Linked DNA regions of Astyanax mexicanus. The protein of the gene in region 1 purifies or fractionates together with the protein of each later gene. This does not show direct contact. Links are inferred from orthologs where the notes say so. Each region holds a gene or a part of one and is shown in the gene's direction. Other genes may lie near its edges.

What was found.
Region 2: the proteins of imp3 (region 1) and utp25 purify together in Homo sapiens (affinity purification with mass spectrometry; 3 studies listed by BioGRID and IntAct, with this or other methods). This does not show direct contact. The link is inferred for Astyanax mexicanus from reciprocal best matches to the Homo sapiens genes IMP3 and UTP25.
Region 3: the proteins of imp3 (region 1) and utp3 purify together in Homo sapiens (affinity purification with mass spectrometry; 3 studies listed by BioGRID and IntAct, with this or other methods). This does not show direct contact. The link is inferred for Astyanax mexicanus from reciprocal best matches to the Homo sapiens genes IMP3 and UTP3.

Annotation. Positions count from the first base shown.
Region 1 is NC_064415.1:56,927,768-56,938,312, forward strand, and holds imp3 (U3 small nucleolar ribonucleoprotein protein IMP3), read left to right. Parts: upstream 1-5,745; 5' UTR 5,746-5,877; coding exon 5,878-6,014; intron 6,015-6,631; coding exon 6,632-6,739; intron 6,740-6,853; coding exon 6,854-6,928; intron 6,929-7,123; coding exon 7,124-7,203; intron 7,204-7,579; coding exon 7,580-7,631; intron 7,632-7,856; coding exon 7,857-7,929; intron 7,930-8,412; coding exon 8,413-8,439; 3' UTR 8,440-8,840; downstream 8,841-10,545. Other genes in the region: slc35a3b (solute carrier family 35 member A3b), read right to left, coding at 2,773-2,823. UniProt on the Homo sapiens protein: Component of the 60-80S U3 small nucleolar ribonucleoprotein (U3 snoRNP). Required for the early cleavages during pre-18S ribosomal RNA processing. Part of the small subunit (SSU) processome, first precursor of the small eukaryotic ribosomal subunit.
Region 2 is NC_064414.1:9,280,000-9,290,051, forward strand, and holds the start of utp25 (U3 small nucleolar RNA-associated protein 25 homolog), read left to right. Parts: upstream 1-5,517; 5' UTR 5,518-5,576; coding exon 5,577-5,677; intron 5,678-6,192; coding exon 6,193-6,232; intron 6,233-7,838; coding exon 7,839-8,046; intron 8,047-9,627; coding exon 9,628-9,957; intron 9,958-10,052. UniProt on the Homo sapiens protein: Component of the ribosomal small subunit processome for the biogenesis of ribosomes, functions in pre-ribosomal RNA (pre-rRNA) processing. Essential for embryonic development in part through the regulation of p53 pathway.
Region 3 is NC_064431.1:34,111,553-34,122,494, reverse strand, and holds the start of utp3 (something about silencing protein 10), read left to right. Parts: upstream 1-5,756; 5' UTR 5,757-5,908; coding exon 5,909-5,925; intron 5,926-7,247; coding exon 7,248-7,335; intron 7,336-7,501; coding exon 7,502-7,558; intron 7,559-8,354; coding exon 8,355-8,411; intron 8,412-8,591; coding exon 8,592-8,721; intron 8,722-8,883; coding exon 8,884-8,952; intron 8,953-9,453; coding exon 9,454-9,575; intron 9,576-10,000; coding exon 10,001-10,162; intron 10,163-10,942. UniProt on the Homo sapiens protein: Essential for gene silencing: has a role in the structure of silenced chromatin. Plays a role in the developing brain. Part of the small subunit (SSU) processome, first precursor of the small eukaryotic ribosomal subunit.

The DNA of each region.
Region 1 (10,545 bases):
TTTATTTGGGTGATAAATATTAATCTTTGAGAATTGCATACATTAAAAAATACGTATAATTATATGATCATTTGCATCTATTTACAGTCCATTTACTGTCCATTTAAACTAGTCAAAATTGTTCACAGTGGGGAAAACCTGTACCAGTTTAAAGCCTCTAAAAGCTCCTTTTCGTAAAGTAACTACACCAGATGGTTATGAATGCACTGCCTGTTGCTTGAGACACAGTTTTACCAGAGTTTTCAGAAGAAAATTCATTCATTCACTCACTCACAGTGGAAGGATACATGCAGGGCCACAAAAAAATAGTGCCTTAGGGGTTAATGGGGTTTAGATACCTAAAAAAATGCAGCAGCTACAGGAATGCTAACTAACAGGGTGAGCACCCGACCTGTCAATCCAGAAATCAACAGAGAAAGACAGTCAGTGTTTGTGTTCTTTACACGCTTTCGTATTTCAGTGTTGACAGGTCTTGTGAAGCGAGCTGTTAGAAACTACGTCTCCTTTGAGCTCCTGAAATCAGGAATTCAATCCACAGTAATGCTACAGATATCCGTCTGTCTGTCCTCTGTCTTTATTTTGAGTGTCTAGGACAGTCCTCTCTCTCTATAACATAACATAGTGTGGGCGATGTTAGCCAGTGAAGACCTTTGTTAACTGTAATAACAGGTGATCGCTAGTTCGAATCCTGGTTATGCAGCTTGCCATCAGCTGCCGGAGCCCTAAAAGAGCACAATTGGCTTTGCTCTTTCTCTGGGTGAGTACAGTACATGGCACTCTTTCCCCTCATCACTCCTAAGGTGATGTGGATCAGCACAAGGCTGCATCTGTCAGCTGATGTATCAGAACCGAGTCGCTTATATTAAATCTCACCAACTGAGCATGTGCAGTAGCCTTTAGTGCAGAGTAGTTGACTTAGCCTCGACTAGGGTTTACCTTCAATTTGTACAATTTTTCCAACACAGATTATTTATTTAAACCTACTTTTAACTAGAAACTTTTATTTTAGGGTGCAGTTCAATAGTTATTGTTCAGCTGACTCAAAAATCACATTAAGGAGAACAGTTTTAAGTTTTATACATATGTGTAAAAATGTCTCGACATTTTGAGTTCTCTCAACTTTTTCATTTTTACAGTGTAGCAAAAAAATAATTACCATCTCTCCCTGGAAGACCAGAGAACAAAACTGAAGCTCTTTTTTGTTTTGGACAAATAATGAGAAGAACAATTACTCATGGAACAGCTAGATGTAAAAAGAGGAAGAGGAAGAGGATGAGCAACAACACGATTAAATTAGGACATAAAAAAGTCTGAGGTATCTGAGATAAAGTCTGTACAAATGTCAAAATCCAACATTACTCACAGGGATTAGCTAGTGGAGGAAGGCAACATTTGAACTCCTGCTTCTCATCCTGGATAACAGGTTTTGTAGAAATAAGGAAATGACGCATCAGAGATATCATAATATATTGTAGCTACTATGCAAATTCACGGCATATGCAAAAAACGGCATACGTTTAACAGAAGGAACAAACCCTAGCTTTTAATGGATGTCAGTTGCAAAAAAATAAAGTTATTCCAAGTTGTTTTGGAGCATTTCTATTGGCCCATTCATGATGAAATTTTGATACAGTACAAAAAAAAACTCTGTTAACCATAGGATTTTCTCATTTTAGTGAGCTATGGTTTATTAAAGGTTGAATGTATGACGTTGAATCAACGTTGCTATATCCTATTAACGTTGATATACTTTTTAAAATCAACACCACATCAACGCTGATTAACAATGATTTAATGTTAAAATGCCAGCTGGGTTATTTACTCATTATCAATTAAGAGAAGTGAGGCTAGTAAGGTCACCACTAGAGAGTTCAATACCCCAGGTGGATATTAAAAGCAATAAATAACAGCCCTTGGGCAAGACTCCTAACTCTCCATTATCCTGCATGATTATAAATTACTCTAAAGGTAAGCAGTGATGTTCGATACCACCGATTTCCTTTTCGATCCGATACAGAGTATAATTCAATCTGGTATCGGCGATACCAATCTGATACCGATACTGTGTGCAGATACACCTAATGTGTCTGGTAATTCTTAAAATGTAGTGAATTTCAAATCATAGCTTCAGAAAAAATACAAGATATCCAAATAATGTATTAATTTATTTTAAATTGCATTGCATTGAATGAAATCCTATTTAGATTTAACTATGCATGTAGTCTCTTCAAATAGCCTACGATAAGGGAATACAAACACTTGCTGTCTTATAATACTAGGAGATCGAACTGAAATTTTTAGTACAATTTTTAGTTAAATAAATAAAGAAATGCCACAATAGTTCACCATGGCTGTTTTATCACAATTACTATAATTTAATTGCAGCTAGTATATCAATTAAACAATCAATTCTTTAAGAATTAAGGCATTTTACTTTAATAAATCATCTCAGTGATACACATATTTTTACTCTAAACTTACTCTAAACTTCCTTATTTACTTATTTCATTATCATATTTGTTAATTGCTTACGCATTTTGCACTGACCCAGGCAAGATCTCCATAGTTTATTTACTTTCCACTGTGTTCCTGTTAGTGATATATATTGCCTCAAATGACTGAAGTATCAAATGTATTGATATGTTGATTTGAAAATCGTAGAAAATTTTAGAGCATAAAGATCTGGTATCAGAGGTATCGATATTTCAGTATCGATCTGCACATCACTAAAGGTAAGTGACTCTAAATGTAATAAAGGTAAAAAACACTTACCATTGCAAGTGGCATCATCATCATCCTCATCATCATCATCGTTATCATCATTGTCTTAGAAGAAGTTTCACCGCAGAGCCCAACACCTTCTCCTTCTTCTCCTCATACAGACTTCACCTCCTCAGACAGTTTCTTTCTACTCATGTAACTAAGAGTAGGAGCTCTTGGCGGACCTGTTCGTAAAACCTGCCCTCAGTTATGTGCTGTCAATTCAGCAAAACTCCCAATCATCTGTCACCAGTCACACCCACTAAAGCACACCACATGCCCCGAGGAGGATATGCTGGAGTTTTGCAATCAGCCAGCCGGTGTGAGGCTGGTGTAGTCCAGCGTGCTGTTTACACACCTCCCAGTTAAGATGTTTGCACTGTGATTAAATAGTGCTTTATAATAGTACAATAGTTCAATAGCCCCAGTTCATACTGCCATAATCAAACACGTCCGTCCGTCCGTCAGTCAGAGAGGTTAGATGGTGGTGGTGGTGGCGGTGCTGTGTGGAGGTTATAAGGGCTCCAGAAACAGCAGAATCCCAGCACACACTGACTGCCTTATGCTGGAAGGTCAACACACAGCGCTTTTTTTATTTGGGAGAAGGGGAGCGAGAGGCCAAACAATCCCTCTCTCTGTGTGGAGGGTGCAGACCTACAGGGGCAAGCCAGCTTTAGGAGGTGTTCCCTTTCCCCACCCTCTCTCATCCTGCCACATGGACATCATGCCGGGCAGCTGCCCTCATCACACTGCCGTTTACACATAAAAAAGAGGACCTTCTCATATTAATCACATATACTAGTGGTTCTCAAATTGTGGAACGTGTACCACTGGTAGAACATGAAGCACATCAAGGTGATACACCACTAAATAAATGTTTTTAATGCATCCAAAATCCTCTGGAATATGATCAAGAGGAAGATGTATGATCACAAGCCATCAAACCAAACTGAACTGCTTGAATTTTTGCACCAGGAGTGTAAAGCATAAAGTTATCCAAAAGCAGTGTGTAGGAGGGGTGGAGGAGAAGAACACGCCAAGATGCATGGAAACTTGATTTCTGAACTTCTGAAGTTCATATTCATAAAGTTTTAAGAGTTCAGAATATTTGGCGGAATAACCCTGGTGTTTTTTAATCACAGTTTTTATTCATGTTCACTTCATGTTCTCCTCAACAAGTCTTACACACTGCTTTTGGATATCTTCATGATTTACACTCCCTGTGCAAAAATTCAAGCAGTTCAGTTTGGTTTGATGGCTTGTGATCATCCATCTTCTTCTTAATTATTTTTCAGAGGTTTTAATTTTTGCAGAATCAAGGAAACTCGTCTTTTTAAGTGGTCTCTTATTTTTTTCCAGAGCTGTATCTGGAAAATTAGGATTCCAACAATGCACACACACACACACACACAGAGTCTACACAGTGCTGGGCAGTTCTGTATGTCAGATACAGTAGATGTGTCAGACGGAGCCGAGGGTGGGGTGGACTGGCTGAGGTCTGGTTTGGCTGGTGCCGCTGGACAAGGCACTGGTCTTTCCCAGTTCAGGATTAGAAAAAGCCACATGCCTGAGCCATGCATGATGCCAGCAGTGTGAGACAAGCCATCTTTTCATTTTTTCATGTCTGTGTTTCAGTAATCTATATTAAAAGTTACCAGACTGATTGGAGCTAATCCAATCAGCCGAGAGGGGGTGCTTTTTCTGGCGGGGGTTTCCTGGCAGAACACTGGCTTTACACGTGAAAGCAATGAATCGTCCCCAGTCAATCCACACTTGCTACACCCTGTTGAGTATAAATGTTGTGTCCTTAAACTTTGATTGGAAGAACCGTTAAATAGAACAGGATAATGTGTAGTTTTGAGTTTTGTAATGGATGCTGCAGGTCCAGGAAGCCAGTTGGACCATCAGGTCCAGTTCTTCTAGTTTCTATAGAGGAGAAAGTTCAGCTCCATTGTGAGGGTAATCTCCTTGATGAAAAGCTCAGATGTGAAGGTATGGAGGCTTTAAAAAAATAAAACGAAACAGGTTTGACTGAACGTTTCTTTCTTTTCATAAGAACAGAGTAGAAGCTCATTTCAGAACAACAAAACAACCAATAAATTACAGCAATTACTCAGGTATGCAAAACTGAACATATGATTCATAACGTCTCCATTCTGTATCAACCTGAGAGTTATTACATTATATTTACACCTCAACTGTGCAAATTCACAATTCTCACGAGTCAAGAGGAGAGAAAAATAAACAGGAAAAAGTACAAAAGTAACAAAATATACAACAGAAAAATAGAAAAATGAAACAGAAAGAAATACAAAATAAAAAAGCAGGAACAGAGGAAGGGGATAGGAGAAAAAAATAGTAAAGAAAAAAGAGAAAAGTAAAACTGAAAAAAAAAATTAAGATAAAAATAAAAAAGAGTATGAAAAATGACAGAAGGGAGAAGGATGGGACTGAAGAGAAAGAAAGAAAGAAAGAAAAGAGCAACAGAAATAAAGAAAGAAAACAAGAAAGAAAGAAAAAAATAAGAGAAAAATTAAGAAAGAAAGAAAAAAATAAGAGAAAAATTAAGAAAGAAAGAAAAAAATAAGGGGACAAGAAAAGGGACAGGACATAGAAATAGAAAAACAAATGAGGATAAAAATAATACAAAATTGGGGGGACAAAAGAGTACTAAAAATGACAAATAGAAGGGAGAATGATGTGAATAAAGAAGAAAAAAGAAAGAAAGAAAGAAAGAAAGAAAGAAGAGATGCAGAAAAAAATAAAAGACAGAAAGATCAACTAAAGAGGAAAACAAAGAAAGAAAGAAAGAAAGAAAGTGAGCTAAAAAGGAAACAACACAAAATTAAAAAAGAAAGAAAGAATAAGAGAAAAAGGAGATAGAAAGATTAAAAAAGGAGTAAATTGGACGGTAGAAGGTGGAAATGGGGCTAAATGGAGAGAGAATAATAAAGAAATTAAATGCTCCTCCCGGTCTGTAGGGGGCGCTGTTTCAGAGCCGCTGTGTTTCTCCTGCAGGCGGCCATGTGTTTCTCCTCACTCACTGTAGTGTTTCTCAGACTCCGCTAAGATTAGCTCTCTCTGTTTCTCTGTAGTTTAGCGGATTTAATCGGTAAAATGGTCCGAAAGCTGAAGTTCCACGAGCAGAAGCTCCTGAGGAAAGTAGACTTTATTAACTGGGAGGTGGATAATAACCTGCACGAGGTGAAGATCCTGAGAAAATACCACATCGAGAAGAGAGAGGACTACACCAAGTGAGTGTTTATACTGAATATACAGATTCAGCCTTTTCCTCTTTTAAAATCTTTTTAAAATCTCAGTTTGCCTGTTTTACCTTGTCTAACTGTTCTCTGAAAACTGAACCAAAAGAAAAATAACAAACAAGATCCAGCAGATGACAGACATGTCTCTCCAAACCATCACTGTTCATCAGTAAATTTTACATTTCATTTAAAGTAAATCAAGGGATCAGAGTCTGGAGGAAGAGTGGATGGAGAGACACACAGTCCAGACTGCTTGAGGTCTAGTGTGAAGTTTCCACCAATCAGTGATGATTTGGAGAGACATGTCATCTGCTGGTGTTGGTCCAAAGTATGGAGATGCGGATTTCATTTTCCAGCAGTACTTGGCACACTGCCGACACTACCACAAGTACCAATTGCGTTTATGTAATATTATTATAATTTTCTGAGACACTGATTGTTGAGTTTTTTATTGGCTGTAAGCCATAATCATCAACAAAAAAGAAGAAATAAATTCTTAAAATAGTGTATTACACTAACTTTACAATAATATTTATTTTTTTTTAGATACACTAGAATAAGGGTAAGAAAATATTAATGTTATAATGTTAATGTATTATTTTTTTTAGGTACAACAAACTGAGTCGCAACATCAGAGAACTGGCCCAGAAAATCCGCGACTTGGATGAAAAGGACGGTTTCCGAGCTCAGAGCACCTCACAGTTCCTGGAGAAACTGTACGTTTAGGAACTTTCCTCACCTCCTCATCTGTAGCTGATATTCTGAACAGTGGAATAGTGTAAAATAATGTGTAAGGATGTGTTGTCTGATTCAGTTTTTTCTCTTTGCAGCTACTGTATCGGATTGATCCCCACCAAACAGAACCTGGCTCTTGCAGATGCTGTCAGTGCTTCCTGCTTTTGTAGGTGAGTGAGTGAGAGAGAGTGAATGAGTTTGTTTGTGTGTGAGAAAACAGATCATGATGTATAAGTAGGTTTACTTATGGTGCAAAAGTCATTTCAGTGTCATGCTACAGATTAATTCTAAGTATAATAGAGAATTGTGCTTGAAAATAGTGTAAAAGTAATGATTGATTTCTCTCTATTATGTCTGACCTGCAGGAGACGGCTGCCAACAATTATGCTGAAGCTGCGCATGGCTCAGAACCTGAAAGCTGCCGTCACGTTCATCGAACAAGGACGTATCCTTACTTACTGTTTTAAAGAGCTGGTTCAGTTTGTTAGAACCAGAAGAAATGGTCCTATTGAAACCATGAAGCACCAAAAAAGCGCTTTCACCAGTTCTTAATAATTCAGTTTGTTTTGATTTAAGGATGAACACAGTGTGGACAAAACACAGGCTTACCTGTCATATGAAATTAGAATCATGTTATTAGAAGCGTGAATTTGAATCTATATCATTTGAACCTGATTTCTGCTTTTTAGAATCTAAAAATATCAATATTTAACTTATAAAATCCAACTAGGTTACATAATTCTGATCATTAATTAGTATTCTTATATATATATATATATATATATATATATGATTATTACAGTTCCTTCACTGAATGGCAGATATTCGTGTTGGGCCAGAGGTCGTCACAGACCCTGCTTTTCTTGTTACAAGGTCAGTTCTGTTTTTATTCTTTTTCTCTTTTTTTTCTTTTTAATTTAGTCATATTCAACTCCAGCTTTCACGTGATATCATCAAACGCAATGCAGGCCAGTGAATACTTTTGTCAGTATAGTATATCTACAGAAACCTTACAGTTCCCAAGTTGGTGCATCCCAACTGTTACATATCTTGTTTATCCATAGGTTTATTTGCATTATTTATTTATTACCTCCACAGGAACATGGAGGATTTTGTGACCTGGGTGGACTCCTCCAAGATCAAACAGCATGTCATGAATTACAATGAGGAGGTATGAATGCTATGCTAATGTCTGTCCTTTATCCTAGTTATTGTGCTGGAAAAATGTTTGTGTGTCTTGTTTCTGTTCTCACAACAGTCTGGAATTAATATAAACGGTTCCCAATTGAAAGTTGCCTGTTTTTATAATAGTTTGAATGTCTGGCCTCATGTCACCTACTCTGGATTTCTGTCAATTGGTTCTGAATTAGATTTTAAGATCCATTTCCGCTCTCAGGGGATTAATCAGATTAGTACTTTTGTCAGTGTGGGCAGTGTGACAAGTCCTGCTGGAAAATGAAGTTAAACATGCAATATTTTTGGGTGCTGTTGTGTACAATAAACAATACACAATACACTAACGTTGCTACCTAGTATGATAAGGTTTCCAGCTTGCAATCTAATGTTACTTGCTAGTGTGCTAATGTCACTACCTCGCATTTACTTCTTAAAAGCAAATAAATAATGTCTTGTCTTTTTTTCTTTCTTCCTCCAGCGTGATGACTTTGATCTTGTGGTTTGAGGCCGAGGTTGGACAGAGGTTGTTGAACATGAGAGCCAAAGGAAACCTCAGAAGCCACTCTGGATCCGCAGTCAGCAGAGCAATGTGAAGTCAAGGCCGATACACCATGGACTGAATGAAGACTTTATTACTGAAAGGATTTCGCTTAAACATTGCAACCCCTGTGATTGCAAAGAGAGGCTATTAGCACATTGGTGATGTGTTATAAAAATATTTGTATATTTATTATACACTGCGAGGGACATTTTAGTACATTAAGAATTGCAAAAACATATTTTTTTGTAACAAAAATTGTACAGTGTGTGAAGAAAAAGCTTTCATTTTATGTTGGATTTTTTTGTTTTCCTTTAATGTTCTTGTAGCCAGGTATGGCTGCTAAAATAATAAATCTGGAAAGAAAATCTGTCTTATTTCAGTATGGATTGCATACCAGTATGACCCCGTCTCATCATATAGATTTACAGCAAACATACATACCTAGATAAATGTGAAGAAAAAAAGCAAAAGTTTGGCATGATATAGTTTGGTATAACGTGTGAATCTAAAAAAAAAAAGAAAACAGCTAGGTCAGCTTAGTTTATGACCAGCTGAAAGTTTATGTTGAGTTTGATGGTTTAGCTGAATAACAGAATGGCTGCCCTAGTCATGCTGATAGTCCAACTAAACCACAATTTCTTTATAAAATTATCATATAGTTCCCAAAAATTAATTTGCGCTGTTTTACATGTTGATAAGTTTAATCATTAAAAAATGAAATGATCAAATTTTATTATCGTTCATAATCTCTTGTGGGTTTGTGCCACCACAAGAGGGAGCACCTGGGTGATACCAAAATGAATGGATTCCTATAGAGCAATTGAACAAAATCATGTTTATAAAAGTACTAATTTTCTCAATACAGAACAATAGCAAAAGTTTAAGCATCGCAGACTCCAGCATTTTAAATCTATCTATCTATCTATCTATCTATCTATCTATCTATCTATCTATCTATCTATCTATCTATCTATCTATCCCTGTTCCACCTTAAGTCTTAAATCAATTACAGTACATGTACAGCAGCACACACACAGTACATGCTGTCTATCTATCAATTGATCTGTCTATATGTCTGTCTGTCTACCTATCTATCTACCTGCCTATATATTGAGGTGTATTCTGTACTATGGATGTTTATCACTTCTACAGCCTTCCAAGAACACCCAAAGAGGAGTCCACAAGAGACAAGAAGACACAACAATATCTATAAGCATGTCTATATATCCCTATGTCTGTCTGTCTACATATCTATCGATCTGTCTGTCTGTCTATTTCTGTCTAAAAACCTATCCATCCATCCATCCTGTTCCACCTTAAATCCTACTGCAATTACAGTACATTTACGGCAGCACACAGAACGTACATGCTGCTACATGCTGCGCCATTTAAGGTGGAACGGGTAATTACCTAAAAGAAGCCGATTCAGACTGGTTAAAACTGGTCAAAGCTTTCCATTTTATTTCGCGAATTAATGTGTTATTATCTATAATACTCCTAAAAGCCTAACTCTGCTTTTAAAGCCTAAGCAAAGCTTCGGGGGGTGAAATAACCCACCGCCCGGGTCTTTGTTCTCCCGCTCGATTGCTAATGTCTGGCTGCGATTCCCATGCAGGACACGAAGCTCCCGCTTCCCATAGCTGACCGCTGACCAGCAAACACGCCACAAAATCCCGTTTTTACTAAAGGTAAGAGACGAGTTAGCTGTGTGTGTTGGTTGTTTTACATGTTGTTTAATCCTAGACGTGCCCTTGCTGCAGTATAATAAACGCAATTATCTTAATTAGCTGTTTTTTTAACCGTTTCCATTGTTGTTTGTCCGGGTTAGCACCGCCTTTCCTAGTTGTTACACTGCAGAGACTGCTGCTGTATCCGTATCATACACTTAGCTTAGCTTAGCTAGGTTAGCATGCTAGAAATGGTTGTTTAATGGTGTATAAAAGAAGATTTAATAGTGTTTTTTGGTTATAAACGTACACGTTTGTCTTTTTCTTTCGTTTTCTATTCCCCTGGCTTGCTAGGTTTCAGAAGTAGGCCTTGGATTCGTATTAGAGGCAATGTAAACACAAA
Region 2 (10,052 bases), on another chromosome or scaffold:
GATTTTTTCTTTATTTAGTTGAGTAGTTCTTGCCATAGTATGGATTAGAACATTACTCAAATAGAGCTATTCACTGTAAACCTGTAACTCTACCTCTTCACAACTTTACAACTGATGCTCTCAAACACATTAAGAGACAAGAAATTCAAATAATTTACTCTTGACAAGTTCAGCACAGCTGTTAACTGAAAGCCTGAATTCCAGGTGACTCTTCCTCATAAAGCTGACTAAGAAAATCCAGCCAAGATGTGCAAAACTGTCATCTAAGCAAGAGGTGCCTAAGAATGGAAAATCTAAAACATATTCTGGTTTGTTTATTAAATAATTTCATACGTTTTTCTTTATAGTTAGGATGACTTGCACATTAATCTACAATGCAGAAATTGCAGTCATGCAGAATATGATGGATGGAAAAGTGTGTTTTCATCAGACCAGCCTTTCAAACACACCAATGATCAAAAAACAGCTATGAATCCAGCTACTATCCAAAGCTAGTCTTGAGCTGGATTCCTTTAGCAGGCATTACGGGTTAGCTATATTAGCCTCGCAGCTCTAGTGTTAAACTAAAGAAGCACATTTCAGACACCAAATACCTCTTATTAGTGTCCTACAAAACGTACAGTGAACCTCTCGGGGCATAAATTATGGCACAATAAAAAATACACAGTATAAACCTGCAGATAACATAAAAATGTACATTAGCGTTAGCCCAGATACCTTATAAATAAAGAAGATTTATGTTCCCAGCTAATGCGTTTCAACACAGACTTAACAGCTCAGAACGTGCTTTCCAACTGCGTATTCCCTTACAGAAGAAACGTATGGAATCTCACACACCATGCTGGCCTTCTGCCACCACACACACACACACACACACACACATATACACACATACATATACACACACACATACATATATACACACACGTCATGTGCCTCCGGCCTGCTGTTGCTCTTTCCAAGCCCCTGCCATGCTGCAGCATTCTCCGCTAGCAATTAAAACTCACAGCCACTTTGATTTTGATGTGGGCAATTTAACTAGTGCCCCATAAACGTGGATGTTTTTGCACAGAGCGCTGTTGTTTTGGCCGTTTATTTCTTTTAATAAGTTGGAAAGCACTTCAAGAAGAACTGCGATCCGAACACATGCCGTCCAGCTGCAGCAGGTCAGCATGAATTACATGAATTATCAGCCGTAATGCTTTAAGAGGGCTGGCGTTTTATTGAGCTCTGCGCAGAGCCAAAGTACGTCTGGACTCCAGAGTTTCTGTGTAAAACATCAGGCTTGGGATGCAACAGTTATTTAATGAATTAAATTCACTGAGCAGTTTCTTAAAACAAGCGGACTATCTTCAATGGACATCAATGACTGAAGAATAAACGCTGTAACAGCCGAACTCCAAATAAATTGTGAATTATTCCATTTTCCACATGCTTATTGTCTTGAGTAAAGCTAAGCAGTTGATATAAATAATAATAGAAATTAATAGCAGACAGTTAGCTTGGTGCTAACTGCATACCTCACACATTAGCTATGTTACGAAGCCTAGTTTGCAGGTCAGGTATGGGCAGCATTGTCTCAGAAGGCTGTTTTAACCCTTGTGTGGTGTTCGGGTCTGTGGGACCCGTTTTCATTTTTCATCAAATGATACTAAAAAAATATTTTTTCGAACTCAAACTCATTGGCATTGGCTCATTTTTTGTGAAAAACATATATCAAAACACATTTTCGATAAACACACACTGTACACCCACCTACCCCCCCTACACATTTATATTACATACAGTATGTTTGGCCAAGGGCTAATAAACATTGCTTCATTTGTAAATTTGAAACGAAACAAATTTTCTACTCATATCTTGAGTTTAATTCATTTTCTTTTACATTTTATTAAAAAACTAATAAAAAAGAGTAAATGTAACATAAGAAAGGTAAAGGGCAAATACTAACCATGTAAGCTGTTTATATTGCTTGCAATTTAGGTGAAGGAAGCATGTGTAAAGCATTTTAATGTAAAATTGCTTAATTTTGCTGAATTAAATACAAGTAACAAAGTAAACGAGTAACAAAAATATGAACACCACACAAGGGTTAAGTGAGAAACCCTACATATGCAGCCTAGAAAAACAGCTTACATTCAGAGCTTTTGAGAAATCAAATGGTGCAATACCAATAGAGTTGTCAAATAATAAAGTACAAATAAGTAGAAATATTGGTTATCTATGCTTTACTGGAGTATTATATATATATATATATATATATATATATATATATATATATATATATATATATATATATATATATATATATATATATATATATATATATAATTATCTTTCAAATAACTTTCTCATCCTATCATTTAAAAAAATATGAAATGATAAAAAAGCTGAAAATTTAATTTCAGCTTGTTTTTATTCCTTTAAACCTATCCAGATAAAAATCTCCATCCAGATAGAGTGTGGAATCTGATTGTGGTTGGATGAGTGTAAACCATGACTGTCAACGTTAAAGCATTAATGCAGTTGATTAATTTGGAATCAGTAATGCGTTATATTTTTTACGCAATTAATTACACCACTTTTTAATGTCTTCAATTGTGCAACAATGTTGCACTAGAAAAAAATCATAAAAAGAAAGAAAACACAGGACAAGAGGTGTGTCCAAACATTTGACAGGTACTGTATATACATAGAGTCTTAAATATAAAAAGAGCTTTATAGAAAGCAACATGTTTTTTTATGTAAATTCTGCTTTATTGATTTATATAGAGGAATGTTGACCTGTTGATAAAGGTACATACAGCTTCAATGGTACAGCTATTTATATGGATGGTCACAAGCCATCTAACAAAACTGAACTAACTGGATTTTTTTGCACCAGGAGTGGTATAAGGTCACCCAAAAGCAGTGTGAAGGACTGGTGGAGGAGAACATGCGAAGATGCATGAAAACTGTGATTAAAACCTAGGGTTATTCCACCAAATATTGATTTCTGAACTTTCTTGCATTATTTAAGGTCTGAAAGCACTATTTTGACCATTTCTAATTTCTTCAAATAAATGCTCTAAATGACAATTTGTGGGGGGGGGGGAGAAATTTTATAAGAAGTTTATAGAATAAAACAACGATATTAATTTTACTCAAACATATACCTATAAATAGTCAAATCAGAGAAACTGATCATTTTTGAAGTGGTCTTTTATTTTTTTCTTAAGCTACATATATCATATATTGTATATATCATATATTGCATCTCCACATGGGACCTCTTGACTTATTTGAGGGACGTGTAAATAATCTGTTCACCTACACAAACATTAAAACACCTTGGAACGCCGGAGCTGATGCCTTTGGGGGGATAAATACCCCTCTGTAAGTTGGCACCGGACTCTATTGTTCTAACCTTTGGTGCGTTTATGACTCCGCTGTAAGCACTGAAGTGTGTGGGTTCATTCGTTTCACTGTGTCTTGTTTTGGCTGGCGGCCTGCCACGGTGTTATTAATAGGCACCCTAATCACTGGCAAGGCCTGCACTTTAAAATCCCTGTCCTCATAATCAGCCACCATATGGTATCAGAAGCTGGAGGGAGGTTACGCAGCGAGCAGCGGGGAAAATAAATAAATAACTGTAGAAATAAGGCTGAAACATGCACCGTATTTGGTAACGGCGCATGTGTTTTGGTTTAAAGGGAATGGAATGATTTTCACTGATCAAATCAATTGCATATTTTCCTGTACTCACTCAAACACACACACCCATACAGCAGTTAGATCCCTACAGAGGTCTCATATCAGATCTGCCACAATTCCCTGGTGAAGAGTAAAGCACCGAAAAGTTTCCATCACCAGAGAAGACTGTGTTTTAGTGGCCCTTTGATACAAAACTACATCATTACATCATTAACATTACTTCATTTAAACATGCCTACAGATTGTCTAGCTTAGAATGAAGAGCACATTTGTCTATTTATTATAATAAATAAATTATTTTTTTACATTTTTTTTATTTATTTACAGACATTAAGAAGCAAACCCATTTCACCACTTGGCCCTACCACACAGCCCTAGGGTGCCCTAAGGTGTCCCAATTCTTGTTAGGCTGGATGGGTAGGTTAGGGTTAATGTACCCTTTAAAAAAAAACTTGAATTTATTGTATTTTAGGACTATAAGGCACACCAGATTATATGGTCCACTATCAATGAATGTCTATGTTCTTACATAAGGCACTGCAGATTATAAAATGCATTAAGCGATACTAGTAAGGAACAAGGGTGTCGCCATGTTTCCCTTCTAATGGGGAAGCTGGGGGGAAGTAAACAAAATTGCAATTCTAAAAAAAAAAACATTCACACAAGCGCTGGATGTTAATCCACAAAGATTTCTCTCCTGAAAATGCTTTATTTGGGAGAGTAAAGTGCTTCAGTTTATTTACAGTGAGCTTAGATTTTTCAATATTTTGTATAAGGGTGAAGTGAAGTTTCTTCAGCAGCATTAGCATTAGCCACTTACCGCAGTGCTAGTGAGAAATAAGTGCCGCCTGATAGCACTAGACTGAGGAAGTCTGTGTGTTCTGGTAGCGGTTCATAACATGTAGCTTGTTTTAACACAGTAAACACGCAGACTACAATCCAATATGCTCACCTCTGAATGGCAAAAGAGCTACTGCTGTGGTTAGCGGCTAATGCTAATACTTCTTCACCCAGCCTTAGTTCTGGAGAAAATTCACTGAAAACTCATCCTTATAACGCTGTACTTCAGCAGAGTGGCTTTACTGATCCTTAATACCTGACTGGTAGAATTTGTACATAAGGCGCAGAGTTAAATTTGTAGTCTATTATTATACTATCTGATTATTTTGAGATATTTAGTCATTATGTTGAGATAACTAATTCATTATTTTGAGATACTGTCATTGCATTATATTCATTATATTCATATTCATTATTTTGAGACAGTAAATCATTATTTTGAGATAATAATTCATTATTTTAAGAGACTAAATCATTATTTTGAGATAATAATTCATTATTTTAAGAGACTAAATCATTATTTTGAGATAGTAAGTCATTATTTTAAGATAGTTCTTAATTATTTTGAGATAGAAAGTGCTATTTTGAGATACTTATTCATTATTTTCAGATAGTAAGTCATTTCATTATTTTGAGGTAGTAAGTCGCTCTTTTAAGATATTTATTCATTATTTTGAGATACTAATTCATTATTTTGACATTGTAAGTCATTATTTTAAGAAAGTTCTTAATTATTTTGAGATAGAAAATCGCCAATTTGAGATACTTATTCGTTATTTTCAGATAGTAAGTCATTTCATTATTTTGAGATAGTAAGTCATTATTTTAGACACTTCATTTCTTTCTTCAGTAAATATTTATATAATGTACTGTATAAATTTAGAGTAAATGAATAATACAGCAGTTGGTTACAGAGTGATGCTAAAGCTGAACACGTGGTTTATTGGGAGTGTAGTTCTCCTCCAGGCCGCCGGGCGGCGGCGGAGCTGCGGGTAAAAGGTAAACACAGCAGCGCTCGAGCTGGGAAACACGTGTTTAGTAAAATGGGGAAAAGGAGGCAGAAACAGCAGGATTTATGGAGTCTGAGTAAAAAACAGAAGAAGCACCTGAAGGAGTTCGGAGAGGAGCATCCGTTCCATGATGAGTAAGAGCTGCTGTGCTTTATTTACACAGTTTATTCCTGACTGTTTGCTCCTCTTGTGAAACACTGCAGCGGATACCGGCTGGGGTCTTACAGTATGGCTGAATATGTCTGATTCCTCAGTAGAGAGCTGCTGGCTGACTTTTTCTCTTATAGCTGTCCAGACTGACTCATTAAGCAGTGTAGAGTAGTGGAGCCACTCTGACAGAATAAATAAGATAACACTACTGCCTGAGGTTTATCTGTGTTAATATTAGCCTTTAGCACTTTTTCACAATTAAACAGGAGGCTAGATTACTAACCTTATATTCAGACATGCCTTGGTACCTCAGAATCATCCTTCAGTAGGCAGCATTTGATAGGATTGAGATAAAGCCAGTGCATTTAATACAATTATCTATTATCTATCTTGTTTAAACGAGAAGATAAAGACATTGACCTTATTAACGTATTAGTTTTAGTAAAATTACGTGACGAGATGTAAACAGCTCACTTTATTTCTGTGCTTTTTGTTTTAGTGTTCCTGACAGACGAGAAAGAACACAGATTGTTCGTTTGGTGAGTACCAGCTAAAGTCCCCTCTATTCGTAATATTATTAGAATAAATTATTTATAAAATAATAGAAATTATTTTATTTTATTTTATTTTTTTAGAATAAGTGCTTTGGAGTGTATATACACACGTGAACAAAATGTTTGATACCCCTCCGTTAACGAAAGGAAAATCCACAATGGTCACAGAAATAACTTGAATTTGACAAAAGTAATGATAAATAAATATCCTATAAAAATGAACAAATGAAAATCTGACTTTTTTTTTCAATCATGCTTCAAATGTATGCATCTGAATCATTTTAACCCTTGTGTGTTCGGGTCTGTGGGACCCGTTTTCATTTTTCATCAAATGATACTAAAAAAATATTTTTTCTAACTGAAACTCATTGGCATTGGCTCATTTTTTGTGAAAAACATATATCAAAACACGATAAACACACACTGTACACCACCCACACATTTATATTACATACAGTATGTTTGGCCAAGGGCTAATAAACATTGCTTCATTTGTAAATTTGAAACTAAACACATTTTCTACTCATATCTTGAGTTTAATTCATTTTCTTTTACATTTTTACATTCTTTTAGCACTTTTTGAAAGAAATGTAGCATAAGAAAGGTAAAGGGTAAATATTAACCATGTAAGCTGTTTAAATTGCTTGCAATTTAAGTGAAGCAAGCATGTGTAAAGCATTTTAATGTAAAATTGCTTAATTTTGCTGAATTAAACACAAGTAACAAAGTAAACGAGTAACAAAAATATGACCACCACACAAGGGTTAAAAAGTAAACTCATGATGGTACCCTTAACTTAAGATTTTGTTGCACAACCTTTTGAGGCAAACACTGCAATCAAACGATTCCTGTAACAGTCAATGAGACTTCTGCACCTCTCAGCAGAGATTTTGGCTGACTCCTCATGAGCAAACTGTGCTCCAGTCATCTCAGGTTTGAAGGTTTGCCAGTCGGCATGTTTCAGCTTCTTCCAAAGGTGCTCAGTATGATTTAGATCAGGGCTCATCTTGGGTGTTTTTATCTGTGTGTATTGGGTCATTATCCTGTTGACCACATGTAATTTGGCAAATTCCAGTTTGTGTTTTGATTTTAACAAATGTGTCCTCCTTGGTCATCTCCCATTAAGTTTTCTTTGGCTCAAATAATGACAAATTGTGTGATCTGATACTTATATTCCTTGAGCTTAAAGTTTACCTTTAATCTCTTTAAATGTTTTTTTGTCAATTTACCTTATGCAGCCACATCCAGGGAGGTTAGCTACAATCCCGCTTATTTAAAATTTCTGAATAATATGTGCAGCTGTAGTCACAGGAACATCAAGCTGCTTTGAGATGGTCTTTTACCCTTTACCTTTAACATAAACTCTAGTTATGCGTTTGTGATTGTAGGCCTGGCGCCATTGTTTAAAAAAAAAAAAAAAAAAAAAATATTTGGCCAAACCATAGACTGAAACAATAAAAGTAGATTAGCCTATTCAAGTTAGTCATACAGATAGTTCAAGAGCTTTAGCAGTATTTTAGATTTCTTTGGTAATGTGGCTTTATGACAAATAAAGCTATGTATGTTTAAATATTGCTCTTTCTCTTCACAGCCCAACAATCCTGAACACTCAGGCTCTGAGAGTGATGAAGATATCGACGAAGAAGGAGTAGAAGAAGAAGAGAAACCCTCTGCATATCAACAGCTGCTGTCAACTATGAACCGCAAAGCTGATGATAACAGTGAGGAAGAGGAGAGTGAGGAAGATGATGAGGATGATGAAGATGGTGTAGAAGAAGAAATGGTCAATCCAGATGAAGGTTTGCTTCGTAATAAATCATGAAATTCACTATATTTGCTGTGTGAGGTTTTTAGTTTATTTTTAGCATTAGCACAACATGGCTATTGTAGTGAATATGTAAATTTATGAAGCTAGCACTCTGTGATAGAATTTCTTGTTGCTGTTTCTGATATTGTGATGTTGATAAGCTTGCATTACTTATTAGCTACATTAGCATTGTAGCTCCAGAATAAAACTGCAGAAGCTTCAGGCTAGACCTGTCACAATAGCTTTTAGGCGATTTGTTTAGGGCAATATATTGTTCCAGAATAAATTGCGTTAAAAAAAGAAGTTGCATTTTAAAGACCATTTTATGCCAATGATATAATGATATTGTAGCATATTAACACAGGTACCTTCATTTTAAGCCCAATTTACTTTTTATTATTAAGAATTTTCAAATAATGAAAATGGATTATAATCTACAGTACCAGTCAAGAGTTTGGAGATTGTGGAAACTTTACGTTAGACCTGAAGCAGCCTGAAGAGCTCTCCACTCTTCCTCCAAACTCTGTTCCCTTGATTTCCAAAAGAAATGCAACATTAACTGATTATTAGTGATACTAGGAGAGACATTTCATCTGCTGGTGTTGATCCACTGTGTTTTATTATCAAGTCTAAAGTCAGTGCAGTTTTGTTTTCCCAGAAAATCTTACAGCACTTCATGCTGAACCTCTGCTGACAACTTTTATGGAGATGTGGATTTCATTTTCCAGCAGGACCTGGCACACTGCCAAAAGTACCAATTGGCCTTGATATATAATATTCTAATTCTCTGAGACACTGAAGTTTACTAAATAATCTCATAGGTTTTTCTTCATAATTTGGATGAACATTTTAAAATATTGAAAAAAAAAAACTGAATTTAAAGTGTGTTTAAACTTTTGACTTCAAACACAATGAACAGCAAAAATAATAAAGATCTAGGCCTGTCACGATAAGATTTTTATGTGGACGATATATTGTCCCAGAAATGATTGCGATACTCGATATTTTTGTAATTTAAGGACTATTAAACGCCACTGACATAATGATAACAGAATAACATAAAACTAAGTAATAATAAATAAATAAAAAATACAGAAAAGCAATAATACACCTTTTAAAGACTACAAAATTTGAATTAATCATTTATTATAATTAATATTATAATTAGGGAATTACATACTTATTGTTTCACCTATTTTAGTCCACTTTTTGTGTATGCAGTCACAGTTATTGAAGCATGACTGGCTAAAATACTGTTTATTGTTGAATATGTGAACAAACATACAAATAAACACAGTAGACGATATCGTGATTATCCAAAAATATTGAGGTCATGTTCATTGATTGTACAATAAATCGATATTGCAATTATTATTACAGGCCTATAGAGGTCACGTTCATATATTGTACAATATGTTAATTGCATAGTTATTATGACGGGTCTACTTCAGACACATTTTTTTAAATATAATAATATGCTTTTTTTTATTAATGTTTTCTTCATAGTGGGACCGATAAATCATACCGTTCTTAAGCCATGCTCATAAATGCTTTTTCTTTTTCTATTTGAAAGTAGATGATGATGATGATGATGATGATGATGATGCTGAAGAGGAGGATGCAGAAGACAGTGATGAGGATAATGAGGAGGAAGAAGAGGAGGATGGAGAAGAAGTTGAGGAGGATGAGGAGGAGAATGGAGTAAATGATGAAGATGAAAATGCCTCCAAAGAAGAGCCAGCTGTGGCTGGAGAGAAGAAAGGAGAGGAGAAGGGGGACGGAGAGGAAGAGCTGGAAGGAGAGTTTATAGACAAATCTAATGAAGAAGACTTTTGTCTGGAGTCCAACCTGCCTGCAGAGGAAGAACAGAATGAGGAGAAGAGTGATGGCAGCACAGGGGAAGGTAAGAGAGCTGCTGTGAAACATTAAAAATATCATTGCTGCCACACAAAAACGCATTAAAATACATTAAAATGCAAGTCTAAACTCTTATTTAGA
Region 3 (10,942 bases), on another chromosome or scaffold:
TTCATTTCGGTCTAGCAAGGTAATGCACTGCAAATAATCACATTTATTTCCTATGGAGTGCACTGGAAAGCAGTTATAAAGTTGATCATTAAAAAACAAATGTGTCAAAATATTGGTTTGCACTGTTCAAGAAGTGACTTCCACACCCAAATCCAAGACAAGCCAAACCAATGCAAATTTATCATAGTTTACTTTACAATTCCCTGGAACTTCAGCACTGCAAGACATTGAGCACTGAACTGAAGCATTTTATAAGGTTTTCAAATCATTGTAGATCGTCAAACATGTTACAGTGTGATTGAAATGATCACGCTTTGCACTTCTGAGTTTGAATTATGAGCAAAATCCTCAATTGCAGCTTTAAACAGATCTTTGAACAGCTTCAAAAAAGTGTTTACCCAATAAACCATTAGCTGAGGTGCATGAAAACAGACAGTGAGATCTCCTGAAAGAGTAATTCATTCTAAACTAAAAGCTACGCAAATGCTTACCTGTACAATTAGCGGCGCTTCGTTACTAGTTGTGGACGTAACCCAAGCCAATCTTGACGGCAAGCATTTAAAATCAATTCTCGACTGCAATAAAAGAATAAATGGAAGCAAAAACATCAATGCAAACAGCAAGAAAACCAGGAACGCCCAGTATGCATCTTGTAGTACACCATTCAAAACCAGCATTTTCCAGCATTTAGTACAAAGAGGTCTAATTCAGCACATGTTTGGCTAGCTGCAAAAGCCACAGCCAATTTTGAAACTGGTAAAAAGCATGCATTTTATGTAATTCATATTAAACCCAGCATAAACATTCAGATTTGAGATAACAAAAAACAAATAAACACAAAATCAAAGCACATCCACATTATTCAGTCATGAAAACGCAAATAAGAAACAGGATAAAGCATTTTGAGAAACACAAATCAATCAATAAGATTTAATAATAATGTGTGTATTTATCAAGGTCTTGATATCTTTAGTGTGTACCCCTAAATAAAACAGTGCAAGAGGACATAATTGTTATAACTGGAACATCCTTGGTTATATCTGTACAACAGATACATTCAGGACCATCTCCCCTCACCAAACTTCTTACGATTCTTATTTCTTAAACACAAACCAAAAAACAGATCATCACACTGTTGCCAAACAAGTCTGTATTACAATTCTACTGTTAAATAAGCAAATTCAGTCCTAAATTAGAAATGGCGCAGAAATAAATAGAGGACAAATGACCATAAGCCAGCTCACTGTCTACACCAAAACATACGCACACTGCGATTGTGGATTGTGTATAAGCACCAATTCAACCACTATTTTGATGCCGCAGTGATTTCAAGCCAACCAATAGCGTGGTGTAAACAGATTTAAAATCAAAACCTGATCGTCTGTCTTCAAACGATTAGTGCTATGGATACGATACACAAGATAATTCAACGAAAGACTACAGAAGGCCATTTTAGCTTAATGTGACAAAAGCGACACAAACCCAAACTCTATTTTTACCAGTAAAGAGTCTAATTACAGATCTGTAATGTGGTTTCTACTAGTAGAAGAATGTAACTGGAGTTTTTACTAGTATAAATGTAATTATAGCTAGCTTAGATATAAGTGTGAAATCCCGTGTAGCTAAATCAATGATAACATTTGACTATATGTGGCCCTGATAATACAACTGATATTATTAGCGTTAATGGCTTGTAGGTGGTTCTACTAGTATAAACTGCTTTAAATAGACCTGTAATCCGAGATTTTACCAGTAAAAACCTGTCAATGGTGTCATTCTAGGCTAGAAGCAGACAACAGCATTTAAAACAATCACCCACCAGCAATAAAGATAAAGTAAAATGCATTTTTCAGAACCAACCAACCAGAAACAAAATGAATCAGACCGAATTAAAACCAACAAGCTGGCCACAGAAACACAATTAAACCGAATTTGACACTCTGAGAGAAGGAGAGTACATATTGCTCTTAAGTGGAAAACAAACCAGTTGGCTACAGAAATACACTTACACCGAATTAAAACCAACCAACAAACAGGATGCATAAATACATTTAAACCGAATTAAAACCAACCAACGGGCTATAGAAATACAACTAAACCGAATTTAAACCAACCTACAGGCTACAGACATACAACTAAACCGAATTAAACTATCCAGCTGCCACAGAAATAAAATTAAACCGAATTAGACCCTCTGAGAGGAGAGTGCAGTGATATTAGGTGGAATAACTTTCTGAATCTTTCAGTACAAAACAAGAACCAGTGAAAAGAAGGAAATTTAAGAATCTGAAAGGAACAAAAATACAAATATTCATCCCAAAAGCAGCGGAGCGACACAGAAAGGCTTCCAAAGAACGAAAATCTGACCAAATAGAGCTGAATAAATGGAAATAGTTCTGAATAAAGCTAAATAAAACTACACAATGCTGAATAACAGCGTAATAAAGCTTAAAACAACTGAATAAAAGCTAAATAATGCTAATTGCAGCTAAATTAAAGCTGTATAAAACCTGAGGTAACTCAGACTGCAGATGATTAGCGTTAGCTAGCTAAGCTAGGCTAAGCTAAGCTAACTAATACCAACAAAGAGACAAAATGGCGCAGAGCAGCAGCAGCAGGTCAGCTAAATAAAGCCCTAAAACACAGATCCAGCTCTCAGTAAATCACTAAAACACCGATAAATCAGATCATATAAACCCCCCGGACTGAACCACAGAACCGGGTCAGCGCTGGAGCCCCTGAGCCCGCTGTAAGCGGGGTGATGTGTGTGAGAGTAGCGTCGGACTAGTGCCCGGAGCTCCGCTGGGTAAATGGCGGCGGAGCGGCTGTAGTACAGTGTGAGTATTAGAGAGTATATATTAGAGTTCTGCAGTTCTGCGGGTCTTACCGAGTTTATCTGCTTTTAGCGCAGCTCTACTGATTCTGCTCTGTTTACCCGCTCGATTTATCAGCAGGAGCCGGGCTCTGGATCTTCTGTACCGCGGGGTTCTGCTCCCCTCAGCTGCAGGATCATCTCTGAGTAAAACCGCACAGCAACCCCCCCACCATACCCTATACACACTTTACACACACACTACACACAGCGACCCGCAGAACTACGCCCTCTAGCGGGGCCAGTAAATATACCTCTATCAGACAGACAGACAGACAGATAAACAGATAGATAGATACTACTCAATTAAGTAAAGTTAAGAAATAATTTAAGAAAAAATAATGGTCAGTCAATCCAAAAAGAAGAATTATTTTTTTTTGAAAGTATCCTCAAGTGCAGTCGCAAAAAAGACATCAAAAATGTTTTGATGATGAAACTGGCACTCATCAGGAAACCACCCCCAGGACAGGACGCACAGTAGTTCCCTTGCTCTTATTTAAAATCAACTCTCGACTGCAATAAAAGAATAAATGGAAGCAAAATCCTCAATTGTAGCTTTAAACAGATCTTTGAACAGCTTCAAAAAAGTGTTTACCCAATAAACCATTAGCTGAGGTGCATGAAAACAGACAGTGAGATCTCCTGAAAGAGTAATTCCTTCTAAACTAAGAGCTACGCAAATGCTTACCTGTACAATTAGCGGCGCTTCGTTACTAGTTGTGGACGTAACCCAAGCCAATCTTGATGGCAAGCATTTAAAATCAATTCTCGACTGCAATAAAAGAATAAATGGAAGCAAAAACATCAATGCAAACAGCAAGAAAACCAGGAACGCCCAGTATGCATCTTGTAGTACACCATTCAAAACCAGCATTTTCCAGCATTTAGTACTAATTGGTCTGTTGCATCAGAGAAAATGCCAAGATGTGCAAAGAGATGTCTTCTTTGAACAATCTAAATTCTGGTTTGTTTAATAATTTTTAGTTGAGACGGAAGTGTAGTTGTTTTTCCACAACAGCAGAAAGACAGACATGTCTCTCCAAACCATCACTGATTGGTGGAAACTTCACACTAGACCTGGAGCAGTTTGGACTGTGTGTCTCTCCACTCTTCCTCCAGACTCTGATCCCTTGATTTACTTTAAATGAAATGTAAAATTTACTGATGATCAGTGAGGGTTTGGAGAGACATGTCTGTCATCTGCTGGTGTTGATCCACTGTGTTTTATTATCAAGTCTCAAAATCTTACAGCACTTCATATCTTACAGCTTCCCTCTGCTGAAAACAACTTTTATGGAGATGTGGATTTCATTTTCCAGCAGGAAAAAAAAGTAGACACACTGCCCACACTAATTTTCCGAGACACTGATTTTTTTATTGTCTGTAATCCATAATCATCAAAAATAAAAGCTATAAACGCTTAAAATAGATCACTCTGTGTTTAATACATCTATATAATATATGAGTTTCATATTTTGAACTGAATTACTGAAATAAAGTAACTTTTCAATGATAATCTAGTTTTTAGATGCACTAGTACTTGCTGTGTTTAATATATATAAATATATATAACAGCTGGGTCATGTTTAGAGCGGTGGCGCCCTCTAGTGGCTTCTGTAGGAAGCACACAGAGTGCTCTGTGGCTGCTGTCGTTATTACAGTACATTACGTTATAGTATATTTTCTACAGAACAGGAATAAACTTAATTTGCTGCTTTAAGTTCAGTCAAAAAAACCTTCATGATGGAACTGGCCCTCATCAGAACCGCCCCAAGAAAGAAAGTCCAAAGCTTCGCTGGGAATCACTCCCTTTTACAGGAATAGTGCACTGTATAGTGTGCCATAGACTTAAAATGTACTTCTAATTTAATTCATTTTTAATTATTTATTAGTTTTAGACATACTATATGGCGAGTCTGCCCACTTTCTGTTTTCCTCGTGAAATCAGTAAATCACTGTTCAACTGCTAGAGGCCTTAGAATCTCATTCCCACGACTCTTATTTAACGTTACACGTGTAAGTATCTTGTTCCCATGCCTTAATAAGTCATGGCCATGACTTTTTTATCTTATTCACACGACTTACTTTATTCACACACATAAGGATCTCGTTTCCACCCTTAATAAGTCGTGGCCATGCATTAGGATCTTGTTTCAACGCCTTAATAAGTCGTGGCCATGCATTAGTATCTAATTTCCCCGCATTAATAAGTTGTGGCCATGACATATTTATATCATTCACTCAACTTACTAATTTCATTCACACAACTTGCTTATCTCATTCACGCGCATAAGGATCTTGTTCCCACACCTTAAAAAAACTCACCTTTATAGGTGAATTTTTGTATATATTTTTATATATCCGCTGTAAATTTAGTGTTTTTGTGTACAGAGCTGTTTTATTTTATTTTTGTTCAGGTACTTTAGGATTTCTGCTAAATTTCGTTGTACACTGTGCAATGACAATAAAAGTATCTTATCTTATCTAATAAGTTATGGCCACGACTTACTAATCTAATCACATGACTTATTTATCTTATTCACATGCATTAGGATCTCATTCTCATGCTTTAATAAGTCATAATAAGTGTCCATGCAATATTATTTAATCATTTTTTTAACATGATGTCACCTAGTTTAACATTGTTTGTGTAATAAATAATTCTGCATGTGTTCGTGTATAGCTTTAATATAGTCTTTAATATTAAATTTATATTAAATTATGTTCAATTTAATCTATGTAAAAAATCATAAAAATAAAAAATAAAACAGTGAATGAGGAGAAGAGGCGTGTCCAAGTTTTTGACTGCTACTGCAGCTAAGGACTTTTAATTTGAAATGTGTGTTTCTGTACAGGAAGCGGTCAGGCGCTTGTGCGCATGCGCGTGTTGGTAAGCGCGTGGAGCTGTGTGGCTGTGCCTAGTGTGTTTACTGATTTTACTGTGTTTATATGATTTAATATATTTAATATAGAAATATATTATTATACAGCAGATCTTCAGTTTGTAATATAAAGCGCTGAGGAGCGGAGAGCAGCATGGTGAGAGCTAAAAGGTAAGATATGAGTGTTTAATACTGTTTTATGGGTTATTTAATAAATTTAAGTTTTAGTGCAGTATCTGCAGTGCTGTGTGATCCAGACAGTATAAAATGTTTTATTATTTTATCTTTATCTTATCAATGAACTTTATTACTGCAGTTCTTCTTCTCCTGTCAGATTAACTCTAATTCTAATTCTTTTCTTCTCTGCTGAAACTGAGACTCAGTCCTTAATCATGTTAATCTGAGCTAAAGGCTAAAGCTGCTGTTTCCATGTGGGTCAGCCAGACGTCTTCCTGTAGCAGTTTTTATCTCCAGTTTATTACTGATACTATTATTCATTTTGATACTAACTGATAATCTGCTTTAGTTTAATTTAATTAGTTAAAGAAAATCACCTCCACAGAGCCCAGCTTCAGTCATTAGCCACCCTAACCCTGATAGTAAGGAACATTTGTTTTGGTTGCATTAACTATGCTAATTACATCTTTTAAGGGTTTCTACCATTTGATTTATTTCACAAAACGTTTAATCATTAAGTGTTGGGCAGTTTGACCAAAATGCATATCACTGTACTTTTTAAGATTCTGACGGTTTCACGTTATATCACAGTATTTTTTTTTATTTTTTATCTTATTTATTTATTTATAGTTTTTTTTATAGCATGACTGGGCTTTTATACAGGTTTGTGACTCACTGTACTGTTAGGAGTACATATAATATAAAACACTAATGCTTTAATGCTTTAATTGGCTTTACTTGGTCCCACAAAATATATAAACAATATATGAAGAAATCAGATTTCATTAGCAGAAAAAAAACACCTGAAAAAATGTGAACAATAGACTTAAAAATGTGGACGACTTTTACACGGCTTCCTTCACTAAACTAAATCATTAAAATAGTTCAATAAACAATATAAATGGATCTAAAATACTCAGTGTTTAAGTATTTAAAAGAGATATTTCTCAAAAGCACTATTTATATTGATTTACAATATGTTTTTATTGAAGCCATTAGAGTATTAAAATCAGCGACAATGCCCTTTCTTTCTCCAGTTAACAAATACATTAAATTTGGTTTATTTTTCCTTCCAATTATCCTTAAAGCTACAGTATTAATATATTTAAAAGGGTTAAAAGGTTATGGTTACTGCTCTTTAAGTTTATTTGCACCTCGTATCCATAGTTCTATGGAGTTTCATTACTTCTGCTGAATAAATAATTCTGTATTCTGTAAGTTAGAAATGTGTATATCTGTATCAGTGCTTTATGAATTGTAATCGTAATTGTTATTCATATTGTATCACCAACCACTTTATCTCCTCTCTCCTGCAGGACGGTGCGAAGGCCGAGAGTGAAGCGAGTGGAGGAGTACGACAGTGATGATCCTGCAAAATATAAAAATGAAGATGTTCCTGATAAGGTACTGTCTGTACTGTCTGTGTCGGTAACTCCTGTCTGATTAGATCAGTCTGATTAATTAAATGAAAATTGCAGTAAAATACCTTATATGTTAATATTTGAGGAAAAATGGTTAGCATAATTATTTTACTTAATTCCTGGTTGTATTTGTCTTTTTTTCTTTTCAGAAATCTTTAAAGTACACAGAAGATAAAGTAGACGAATTCCACAACAAAACCATCTCTGTGAGTTACGGTACTTTTTACTTTACAGCTTCTTTTATCTTGTAAATAACTGTGAATAAACTGGTAAATGGTTGTGTGTAAGTGTATATGTGTGTTAGTCTTTTATGTACTTGTTGTTTTATTATTTGTAATTATTTAACCCTTTCAGACCTGAATGATGTTCCACTGATGGAAAAATAAAAAAACCTGGGTTTTCTGTATGTAATGCACATAAGGAAGACCCTAATAGTCTATATAGTCTATATAAAATAAAAATCACAAACCATCCCTAAACATGATTTAAAGTGCTCTAATCCAGAGGGCACTAATAGGCGGAGCGTGGTTCGGGTCTGGACCCAGATGTTGTCCCACGAGGATGCCTTAAATTATTGTGCACTAAAAATGAAGTAAAACTGTTAAATTTAGTCTGTTTGTGTTTCAATAAAATCTGGTCTTTCATTCTTCATATAAATTGTCCATTTTGGCCATAGTTTAGCAAATCTTGACATTTGCAGCCTAATAGCGAATGTAATTTTTTCCATTACATATATTTAATTGACTATATTAATCCATTCTTCCATTTCAATGCTGTTTTTTTTTTCAGTGCAATAAATGGGGCTAAGCTACTGTTTTATTTGTTGTAATAAATACAGGGTCTGAAAGGGTTCATTTTATTTGTAATTGTTGTAATTGTTAATCATAGAGTTCAGTTTTTAATCTGTTTAATAATGTGATGTGTTACAGTAGGTTAGATGTGTGTTAGTTGAGAGTGTATATATTGTATTAATCTGTATGTTTTGTTGTGTTTGTTGTGTAGAAGCTGTTGGCGCGTGGCGTACGGACAGATAATGATTATGAAGATGAAGCGGACGAGGTAATCAGATCTTCTCTCTTTTTTAGATGCACTAATATATTTTATTACAGTGTACAGTATGTTATTACTGAAGCCAGTGAAGGAAGTTCTCCACAGTTCTTCAGTTTCTTGTTACGCAGGAAGATGGTTGGGTCAGGTTTTCATATATAAATATATAGTAATAATTTGTGATCTGATTAGGAAGAGGTGATGCCCCTGACACTACAAGATTCAGACGATGATGAGGATGATGAAGAAGAGGACGGTGATGATGGTGATGAAGAGGGAGAGACGGATATGGAGAGTGATTTGGAAGGGAAAAAGGATGACGGTAAAAGGATATATAGTTTTATGTTTATATTATAATGTTCATTCATTTTTTTTTTTTTTTGTCATAATTTTATGTTCTTACGATACGTTTAAAAACGAGTTTTCTGAGTTTTGAGAATGTTGATAATTGGTAATGATGTTTTTATTGTTAATGTTTGTGCAGATCTGCCGAATGCCATGGCCTGGGGGAGCAGGAAGAATGCTTTCTATGATTCTGACTATACGACTACGAGTAAGCACTTTCAGTTATATCATTACTCTTACTTTATCTGAGTACTTATTTCAGTTACGAGTAAACTAACTAGTAAAAGTTACTATTTCCAATACATTAATCAGATTAAATGTACTATTGTTGGAATTTTATCTTTAGTAAAAATAATATATATATATATATATATATATGTGTGTGTGTGTGTATTGTTTTTTTCTTTTTGTGTCTCTGGGAGGGATGTCTGGTCTGTGCAACAATTAAGTCACATTTTCAGCCATTAATCTGATGAACTGGATCTTTTCCACATGTTTTTTTAATAAATGAGAAGCTATGTTAGTCTGATTAATTGGATGTAAATTGCTGTAGAATGCATTAAAGTATTGAGAAACTATACATTCGATTAAACATAATTTTTATTCTCCTCTGTAATGAGATGTACATTCACTCTCATTAACTTATTTAAGTACTGATAATTTATAATGAATTTATAAAATGTTTTTATATTTGCGTCGCTGTTTTTAGAGAAGAAATCGTTGGTGGAGACGGAAGCAGAAGATAAGGAGGAAGAAGAGGAAGCTAAAAGCATTCAGAGACGACTTGCAGCCAACCTGAGCGAGGAAGACTATGATCTGAATCTGCTGCAGGTAAAATATATAGACTTTTATATATAACTTTTACATCAACAATAAACAGAATAGTAAATAAAATAACATTGCTGTTCCCGTAAATGAGCTGCTGGAGCTCCTTCACAGCGTCAACCAGCAGCTCAGTTTCCTCTGCTGAGAAGAGTTTGTTGAACACGTCCAGGTAGCTGCACCTTTACAATAGCAATCCACCAAAGACAGAGCTCACCTGATCTACTCTTAAAGAGAATGATGAGCAAGAGACACTCTGATTGGGTTATTATTTCACGTTACGCCCAAAATTAACCAGAATTAACCACACCCACCATTAATTAAGATAATTAGTATTAAAAGCATGACTTTTGTGTGTTTCGAGCTGCGCAAGGTGTACTTTTCCCGTCGTTCTGATAGCGAAGACTCACTACAGCATCTGTCTGTGTCGTCAGGAGTTTGCGGTGGAGGCTGAAGATGAGCAGACGGAGGAGAGCGGAGAGAAACAGCAGAGGATTGAGAAGGACCTGGATCAAATGTCTCAGAAGGAGAAGCTGAAACTGCTGAAGAAGGAATCTCCTGAGTTACTGGAGCTCATTAATGACTTTAAAACTAAGGTACAGTAGAGCAGCGGTTCTCCACCTGATTATAATTATAAAGCATGTATTTTAAACCTGACCTAACTTAAATGCAATACATGCACAGATTTATGTATAGTTTTTGTCATATCTGCTGATATCTGTTATCTCCTATACTTAATTTATTCTGTTACTGCACTACCTCATATCTACGACTGATTACCTCCACACTTTCTATAGTTTTGTGTTTATATAATTATGTATATATTTTTAAATCTCAGTTTAGAGTTTTATATTTCTTACTTGGCTCTCTTATTTTACTACCCCTATTGTTTGTTTCTACTGTAAATTTCCTTCAAGATCAGTAAAGTTTCTGTCTATCTATCTTTCTATGTCTGTCTGTCTGTCTGTCTGTCTATCTATCTATCCATTTTATTTTGTGTTTTGCTTCTTGTGAAAACGTTATAATTGGGCAGGAACAGTTGTTTAAACTAAATATCATCCATTTAAGTTAAATTGCTGAAAATGTGCAAAGATTTTAAACAAAAAGAAAAGCAGAAGCTGTTGTTTTCTCTGGTCCGGATCAGATGATGAGTTTGTTTATTTGGTTGGTTTGGTTTCACACAGGTATATACCTAAACACACCAAAAATATGCACTAATAACCCACACAAGGAGCAAAACAGTAAACATAGTGAGAAGATTCAGTGTGTATATCTGTATATCTGTGCAGTGTGAAGCTGCTTTAATACAGAACACTGAACATTTGCCGCTGTGCTTTAAAACACATGCACATGTAGCATTTAGGTTTTTATGCCTG